Ovis aries: one gene and its partner. The protein of the gene in region 1 binds, or shares a complex with, the protein of each later gene. Links are inferred from orthologs where the notes say so. Each region holds a gene or a part of one and is shown on either strand. Other genes may lie near its edges.

Region 1 (3,797 bases):
GCAACCCCGCAGAGCACCCCCTGCCTGCAAGTTATGGCACCTATCTGCTTCCAGTTTCTGTACTGGTGGCCGGGCCTGGAAGAGGGAGTCATGCTTCCCTTTCACTGAGGGAACAAGAGAAGAGGCAAGAGAGAAACAGAGAGAGAGAGAGAGACTGATTCAGTCATCTTGGTAGCTCCTCCCTTCCGAGCCTTTACTTATAGATAACAAGACTAGAAGGAAACTTGGAGGGACGTCTTCATGTGAGAGATGAGGAACAAGGCCTTGAAAGGTGCAAGGGAATCCCCAGGCAGTCCAGTGGTTAGGACTTCGTGCTTCCTTCCACTGCACGGGGCACAGGTTCAACCCCTGTTCAGTGGACCAGGATTCTGCATGCTATGCATTCAGGCAAAGAAAAAAAAAAAAAATATATATATATATATATAAATCTGCAAAGAGCCAACTCATTAGAAAAGACCCTGATGCTGGGAAAAATTGAAGGCAAAAGAAGAAGAGGGTGGCAGAGGATAAGATGGTTAGATAGCATCACCAACACAATGGACACGAATCTGAGCACTAACTCTGGGAGATAGAGAAGGACAAGGAAGCCTGGCCTGCTGCAGTCCGTGGGGTCACAGAGTTGGACACAAGTTAGCAACTGAACAACAACAAATATATGCAGAAAGCAGGCTACCCTGGCCCACCTCTGGAAGCTCTTCCCTTGACCAGCCATCTCCTGACTCTGGGATGGGCTCCAAAGTACTAAGTAGTGGTCTGCGGGGCAGGGCAGGGGACATACACATGCCCTCAGTCCTGGCTCCCCGTCCCAGAGGCCCTTGCTGAGTGGACTGTTTGGCCAGCAGACAGCAGCCCATCCAGGCCAGTGGAGGACCCATGGAGAGGCCAGCAGGGACTGGCCGAAGTGGCTGTGCGTCTGGAGGAGCCTGTAGTCCTTGGGCCTCGGACTCTGCAGGTGTCCTGGACCGTGAGTGTGGCCCAGGGATGAGCGTAAGGGCAGGCATGATGATGGGGGACACAGGGGAATGCGTACGGGAGTGTGCAAGGTGCGTGGCTGGGGAAGACTGCTGGGTGAAGAAGGGGCTGCGACAGGAGGACTTGTTGGCTCCAGCCCCTCCTCTGGCATCCTCTGTCCTGCCTCCCACAGGTAGATGGCCCAGTCCAGCTGGTGCAAGGTTTCCGGGTGTCTTGGAGGGTTGCAGGACCTGATGGGGGAAGCTGGTCGGTGCTGGACCTACCGTACCCAAGCCAGCAAAGCACAGTGCTAAGAGGACTCCCCCCAGGGACCCAAGTCCAGGTCAAGGTGCAAGCTCAAGGCCAGGAGGAGCTGGGGGCTGAAAGCCCCTTGGTGACCAGGAACATTCCTGAGGAGGGTAAGGGAGTGGGGCACAGCGCTGATGGGTGGACAGGAGGGAAAAGAGAGAGGGGAGGAGGAAGGTTTGCCTGGGGAGGGCAAAGGGCGGGGGGTGGGGGGAGGAGACACGCCTCTCAGTTCCCTAAGAGGTTAGCACTGGGAGGATGAGCAAGGTTGGGGCTGGAGGGGCAGCTTGCAATGACTGTCTGTGTCCTTCTCACCATGCTCCACCCTGGCCCAGCCCCCAGTGGTCCCCCCCAGGGAGTGGCCGTGGCCTTGGGGGGTGAAGGCAACAGCAGTATCACTGTGTCCTGGGAACCTCCGCTCCCCTCGCAGCAAAATGGGGTCATCGAGGAATACCAGGTGCAGGGGTTGAGAAGGGCCTGGGTGGGCAGGCTGGGCAGTGGAGGGAGAAGGTTAGGATCAGGGAGGAGGGAACCTAGGACTGGCTTTGGGACTAGAGACGAGGTCCGGGTAGAGGAGAGAGGTTTCAGAGTGCTCTCTCCGAGCGAATTACGCCTGGCCGAGGCGTCATTCCCACCATTCAGAGATCCACTTCTGACCCTCTAAGCCCGGGTCTCGGCCTCCCCAGATCTGGTGCCTGGGCAACGAGAGCCGCTTTCATCTCAACCGGTCCGCGGCGGGCTGGGCGCGCTCGGCGGTGCTGCGGGGCCTGCTGCCCGGTCTCCTCTACCGGACCCAGGTCGCGGCGGCCACCAGCGCGGGCGTGGGCGTGGCCAGCGCCCCGGTGTCTGTGCAGCTGCGTGAGTCCGGAGCGGGTGCGGGGGAGGAGCTGGGGTTTCGGGAGTGGGGCGGGGGGTGTCCTGGGGTAGAGTTGCCTCTACTCCCCTCACCTCTCTGACCCCCGCAGCGTCCCCGCCGGAGCTGGAGCCTGGGCTCGAGGCGAGCCCGGGGCTGGCAGAGCGGCTGGCGAGGGTGCTGCGGGAGCCTGCCTTCCTCGCGGGCAGCGGCGCCGCCTGCGGGGCGCTGCTCCTCGGGCTCTGCGGCGCCCTCTACCGGCGCCGGAGGCAGCGCAAGGAGCTCAGTCACTACACCGGTGAGAGCCCAGCCCCGGGGGCCGGCGGCTGGGAGACTCGACGGGGGTGGGGTGGGGTGGGCGGAGCCTTGAGATCTCGCTCCCCCAGGAAGGGAGGCGCGGAGAATCGAGAGAGAGTTCAGCCGCTCAGTTGTGTCCGACTTTTTGCGACCCGATGGACTGCAGCACGCCAGGCTTCCCTGGCCATCACCAACTCCGCTGAGCTTGCTCAAGCTCACGTCCATCGAGTCGGTGATGCCATCCAACCATCTCGTCCTCTAACCTCCCCTTCTCTTCCTGCCTTCAATCTTTCCCCGCATCAGGGTCTTTTCTAATGAGTCAGTTCTCCCCATCAGGTGGCCAATGTATTGGAGTTTCAGCTTCAGCATCAGTCCTTCCAATGAACATTCAGGACTGATTTCCTTTAAGATTGACTGGTTTGATCTCCTTGCATTTCAAGAGGCTCTCAAGAGTCTTCTCCAACACCACAGTTCAAAAGCATCAATTCTTCAGTGCTCAGCTTTCTTTGTAGTCCAACTCTCACATCCATACGCGACTACCGAAAAACCATAGTTTTGACTAGATGGACCTTTGTTGGTAAAGTCAAGTCTCTGCTTTTTAATATGCTGTCTGGGTTGGTAATCGGAGAAGGCAATGGCACCCCACTCCAGTACCCTTGCCTGGCAAATCCCATGGACGGAGGAGCCTGGTGGGCTGCCGTCCATGAGGTCGCGAAGAGTCGGACACGACTGAGCGGCTTCACTTTCACTTTTCACTTTCATGCATTGGAGAAGGAAATGGCAACCCACTCCAGTGTTCTTGCCTGGAGAATCCCAGGGATGGAGGAGCCTGGTGGGCTGCCGTCTATGGGGTCGCACAGAGTCGTCTGACTGAAGCGACTTAGCAGTGGCAGCAGGTTGATAATAGCTTTTCTTCCAAGGAGCAAGCGTCTTTTTATTTCATGGCTACAGTCACCATCTGCAGTGATTTTGGAGCCCAAGAAAATAAGGTCTCTCACTGTTTCCACTGTTTCCCCATCTATTTGCCATGAAGTGATGGGACCGGATGCCATGATCTTAGTTTTCTGAATGTTGAGCTTTAAGCCAACTTTTTCCACTCTCCTCTTTCACTTTCATCAAGAGGCTCTTTAGCTCCTCTTCACTTTCTACCATAACGGTGGTGTCACCTGCATATCTCAGGTTATAGATTTTTCTCCCAGCAATCTTGATTCCAGCTTGTGCTTCAGGAAGGACTCAGCTGCTGGCGGGGGCGGGGTGGGGGGTGGAGGTCACGGGAAGAGTTGCACTGGAGCTCAGCCCCTTGGACAGAGGCAGGGTGCCCATGGTGGAATCCCCAGCTGTTGGAAGCAGGAGGACGGGGGTTGGGGGGTTGAGGGGGGGTTGGGGGGGA
Region 2 (4,389 bases), about 4.0 Mb from region 1:
AGTGTAAAGGGCCAAGTGGGACAGTGGCTTGCATACAGGAATATCCAGAAAAATAGGGCAGAGTGTGTAGATAAAAACCTTCTCTCTTAATAAACTGTGTTGCTACTTTGGTGACCTTCAGTGGGGGCTCCTGGGGTCACGGTGATGAAGGGGTTAGGAACAGAAGAAGTAAGAAGGGGATTAATGAAGAGGATTTTTCTTGAACGTTGTAAATGTTTCCTGGAAAATGAGGGAGAGCTTTGTTCAGAGACGTTTCCCTTCTTTGGGATCCCTATCATATCAGAGGGCTGGGCTGGACTCAGAGAGAGGGGACCAGTGTGAGCAAGCCAAGGAGTTTTAAATCATGTGGGGCTCGTTTGGTGTAAATCAAAGGCTCTGTCATGTCTGATTTCACGACTCTGCAATCTAGTTATAAATAACGTTCCTGAAAGGAAGTGCCATGAAACTGGGAGATATTTCTAGGGAAGGCTGGGTTCTGCAAGGGGGTCACATAGAAGCAGGAGGATTGGTCTTCTTGCCCACACTCCTAAAACAAAGTCCAGCCATTCTCTCCAGGAATGGTGTTGGAGAGGGTTCCAGAATAACTGCGGGAGAGGTCAAACCGTGACTGTGAAAGGAGAGTAGTAGGGTTTTTGACAAAACCATCGAGAAACTCACTCAAGGAAAAAAAAAAATGGTTAGGAATTTCCCCTAAGTGGCAGCATCTGCCCTGCAGAACCGGAAGGCTTGCAAATAAAACTCCCCAATTCCCCACCGTGCTTCGCTCGGGCTCAGGGACACTTTTTCTGCACCCCCCTCCCCCGGTCTTAGCGTCCTCTCCCTGAACCCCCAAAGCGGGTCTCCACTCAGAGGGACCCAGCGGAGAGAGGAGACTGGAGGTACAGGTGGTGAGACGGAACTCAGGCATCATCTCCCTACACCCCCCTCCCCAACCAGTCACCTAAGCAAATCCGGAGTAACTGTCCTCCAGGGAGGAGCTGAGGGCGCTAGTTGAGTCCGTCTGGGTCGGGGTTCCCCCGGTGGCGGGGACGCGGGGCGGGGGGGAATCCACCCGCAAGGACTCGGGGTTCTTCGTTTCGACCAAGATGAACTGTGGCAACTTCGGCAGCCCCCACCGCGGCGCCGAGGCAGAGACAGCAGCAGCGGCTCCGCCGGCTCGTCTGGGCTGGAGAGCGTGAAGCTCAGGGAGGGGGTGCCCTGCGCCTCCAGCTCCTCCCTTTTGGCCCCCGGGTCCCGGGACTCCAGCTCCGGCGCTCCGAGTGGTAGCGGCTGCTGCGCCGATCGCCCGGGTCCTCGCCGCGGAGGAGGAGCCGTTGCCAGCGCCAGGCGCAACCTGCCGGAGCGGCCAAGCCCCGCGTTCCCACCCCGGCGCCGAGGCGGGCGCCGCCGCAGCGGGGGCCGGGGTCCGGGCCGGGTGCCGCCGCCCGCGGTGGGGGCGGGCTGGGGGCGGGGCGGCCGGGGCCGCCTTCCCGGGCGCGATCCCTGAGCGCGGCGCCCGGCGCAGCAGAGCCACCTCCCTCGCCGCCCGCCAGCAAGTTTGGCGGCTCGGAGCCCGGCGCGTCTCGGCATCCAGGCGCATTTGTTTCTTCCTGGCTTCCACGCGCCCGCTTTGGCCGGGACCCTTGGGAGCGATGCCGAGGGGTGTGATTTTAGTTGTGTGCTTCTGTGTGTGCGCCGCCAGGACAGGTAAGCACGGCTGGGGCTGTCGGAGGGATGCGGGGAAACGGGCGAGCCCAGCCGCTGTGCCCAGCGCCCACCTCGGCGTGGGGAGGACCTGGAGCAGAGCTCCGCGCCGGTCCGGGGAAGGGCGTGGATGGGTCCCTCGAATCTCTCTGCCCTGCTCCAGGTGAAAGGCTGAGAAGTGGGACTTACAGGCCGGGGGAAGATGCCCCCGAGGAGCAGCCCCCTGCCCGGAGGACGCGGCCTGGCGGGCACAGGGGTGAGGGGCGCGGCCATTCAGGCGCACCCTCCAGCTGCTAGCGACCGGCTTCCGGGTAGAAACCCACATAGTAGGGCGGGCCCGGGAAGCCCACCCCCGTGAACTTGACAGGTGCGGGGGAGTCCGCGGTCTCTGCGCCCTGCTGGCCGGGGCAGGGGCGGCGGCAGGGAGGCGCACCCGCAGAGGGAGCGCTTCCGGCCGGCGGGCGGGCGCTGCTGGGGCGCGGGCGGGCGCGGCGCGGGGTGGGAGCTGCGGACGAGGCTGGGATTCCGAGACCCCTTTTCTCGTCCCCTCCTGCCTCTCCCCCGGGGAACTCCTGAAGTAGTTTTTCTTGCCACTCCCTTTCTCCCCCAGAAGGCAAGACAAATTCGAGGGAATTGGAGCTGTGGGGGCAATCCCAGGGAGATGCTCTTAAGCTCCAAGCCAGTTTTCGCAGACTGTAGCTGCGTGTTGGTGTCGTGGAGGGGAGGTCAGGAAAACGGGCGTAATTTTCTGAAGTCTCCACTTCGTTCTGCCTCCAGGGAAGCAGTTGTGAGGACGTTAAGAGCACCTCCTCTCTCAGCCCTCAGCCTGCATGTCCCCTGGGGGTTTGGAGACCCACTCTCAGCCGCCTTCTCTGGGGAGCTAGTAGTAGATTGGGGAAGGTGGCGGTGGATTGGACGAGGGAATTGGCAAAAATAGGACTCTCCACTGCGGGTGGGAGCGTCGCGAGTTTTTATTCCTACGCTAGGCACCCTCCTAACGTGCGGCAGACTTCGCACCCTAGAGTTGATATGTAGTCATCCCCACTGCTTTTTTCCTCTTTTATCACTCTCGTCTCTCCTCTCTAGAGGCATAGCCTCCTGCCCACGCTAGGGAGCAAGTTTATAGGTAGAGGGCTGGGAATGGGTGCCCGGCCTGGGTGGGCTCAAAAGTTCCCTCCGCTCGCTCCCCAGGCGTCCCTCTTGGGCTGTTAGCAGCCCGCCTGAGGATTCAAGAGTTGGGCGTCCAGCAGCTTCCTGCTGGCCCTTTCCATCTTCCCCAGGACCGAGCAGGCGGCAGCTTTTCCTTTGCTTAATGAAAGCGCGGCGGGTGTGGACTTCTCCAGCGATAAAAAGAATCCCCATCCGTTTTCAGTCTCCACCCGAGAGCTCCCCAGCCTGCCAAGATGCCATGACTGCCCAACCTAGAATAAGCGCTTCTTGAGTTCCGGCCTATATAGGTGGGTTAGTCTTTTAAAGCCAAGAGCACACGAGAAAAAGCTTGCCCCCCGGAAAGATCAGAGCAGTGGGGACAGTGCAGAGTGTGGGCGACCAGCCCTGCTAGTGGAGAATCTGGTGCTGGTGAGCATCTTACAGGGGAACCAAAGAGAGAGAAACTAGGTGGGGCTGGGGTGGGGTGAGATATCTGTCACTTAATTTTCTCAAGTGCACATCGCTACGGAGTATGCCTACGTCCTTTGTTCTCATTACTCCTTTGAAAAGTCGGCCAAAAGTACCTTCGCCAGAAGTGGATTGTGGGTCCAGGGAGCGTTGCTTGTGGAGTTTCTTTAATAACAAAATCTTTTCCCCTTCCCCACATTGAGCCCCTTTAAATCTTGTAAAAATTTGGTTGTAGGGAAGTTTCATTTCTGTGTTCATTCATTCATTCAGCTGAAGAGTTGAGCGCCTTGCTGGGTGCTAGGATTGCTTATGCAAAGAGGAACCGACTTGGTCTTTGACTTCCAGGAACTTACAGCTTAGCTGAGAATCTAGATACTGAAAAGTGTGTTTATTGTACAGTTTGATGGGGCAGAGGGAAGAGAGATGGGATTATAGAAGTCTGCATTAAGGATATAGAGGAGAAATTGTAGAAATGAATTCTGGGGAGGGGTGGTAGATGGTCAGGGAAGGCTTTAATCAGAAGGTAACATTTGAAAGTTGTGTCTTGAAGGATTTTTAGGAGTTTTCCAGGTGGGCAGAGTGGGGAAAGCATTCTAGACAAAGAGCACAGCTTGTCCAAAGGCAAGGAAGAATGGAAGGATCTGCCAATCAGTTGTGCAGTTGCTTAGGGAGCTTGGGTTTTCTGCGCACTTGGTACTCGTTCAAAGAGTACCAAGAGGCTACACATTTCTACTACAGAAATTATCAGAAGAATCAGAGAGACATGGGGGAATTATATCTCAATTCTTTTACTTACAATTTCTTGCAACTTGGGGGATATGATCAGCAGTTTTCTCTTTGATTTTACCTGGGAACCATCATCCCTGCATCACACATCCATCCTCTGAGGTAGCTAAGGCCGGCTCTTAATTAGTTTATCAGGATCCAAAAAGCCAGTTGGAAAGTTTATTTGTCAAGTGGGATAATTGTTGTCTGGGCTGTTAACAGCCCAAGATGAAATAAACACGTGGTTCACTGAGTGAACTGCTCAGATATCACTGCTTTTAATGGAAATGAATAGATGCTATCAGGCACATTTTAATTAAAGCA

The links.
Region 2: the proteins of ROBO3 (region 1) and NELL1 are in contact, whole or in part, in a crystal structure (PDB 6POL), measured with the Homo sapiens proteins. The link is inferred for Ovis aries from reciprocal best matches to the Homo sapiens genes ROBO3 and NELL1. Residues at the interface, in NP_071765.2 of Homo sapiens: Ser553, Pro555, Val590, Glu592, Phe594, Pro596, Asn600, Thr601, Trp602, Thr604, Ile624, Leu626, Arg630, Gly633, Ala634, Trp635, Gly636, Leu637, Ser638, Glu639, Pro646, Val647, Arg648; in NP_006148.2 of Homo sapiens: Ala440, Lys441, Met442, His443, Tyr444, His446, Tyr458, Arg468, Val469, Asp470, Asp471, Phe472, Ser473, Asp478, Ile492, Cys493, Thr494, Asn495, Thr503, Cys504, Lys505, Pro506.

The regions. Positions count from the first base shown.
Region 1 is NC_056074.1:25,787,578-25,791,374, forward strand, and holds part of ROBO3 (roundabout homolog 3), read left to right. Parts: intron 1-842; coding exon 843-964; intron 965-1,144; coding exon 1,145-1,370; intron 1,371-1,592; coding exon 1,593-1,714; intron 1,715-1,943; coding exon 1,944-2,115; intron 2,116-2,222; coding exon 2,223-2,408; intron 2,409-3,797. UniProt on the Homo sapiens protein: Receptor involved in axon guidance during development. Acts as a multifunctional regulator of pathfinding that simultaneously mediates NELL2 repulsion, inhibits SLIT repulsion, and facilitates Netrin-1/NTN1 attraction.
Region 2 is NC_056074.1:21,836,205-21,840,593, reverse strand, and holds the start of NELL1 (protein kinase C-binding protein NELL1), read left to right. Parts: upstream 1-1,484; 5' UTR 1,485-1,631; coding exon 1,632-1,686; intron 1,687-4,389. UniProt on the Homo sapiens protein: Plays a role in the control of cell growth and differentiation. Promotes osteoblast cell differentiation and terminal mineralization.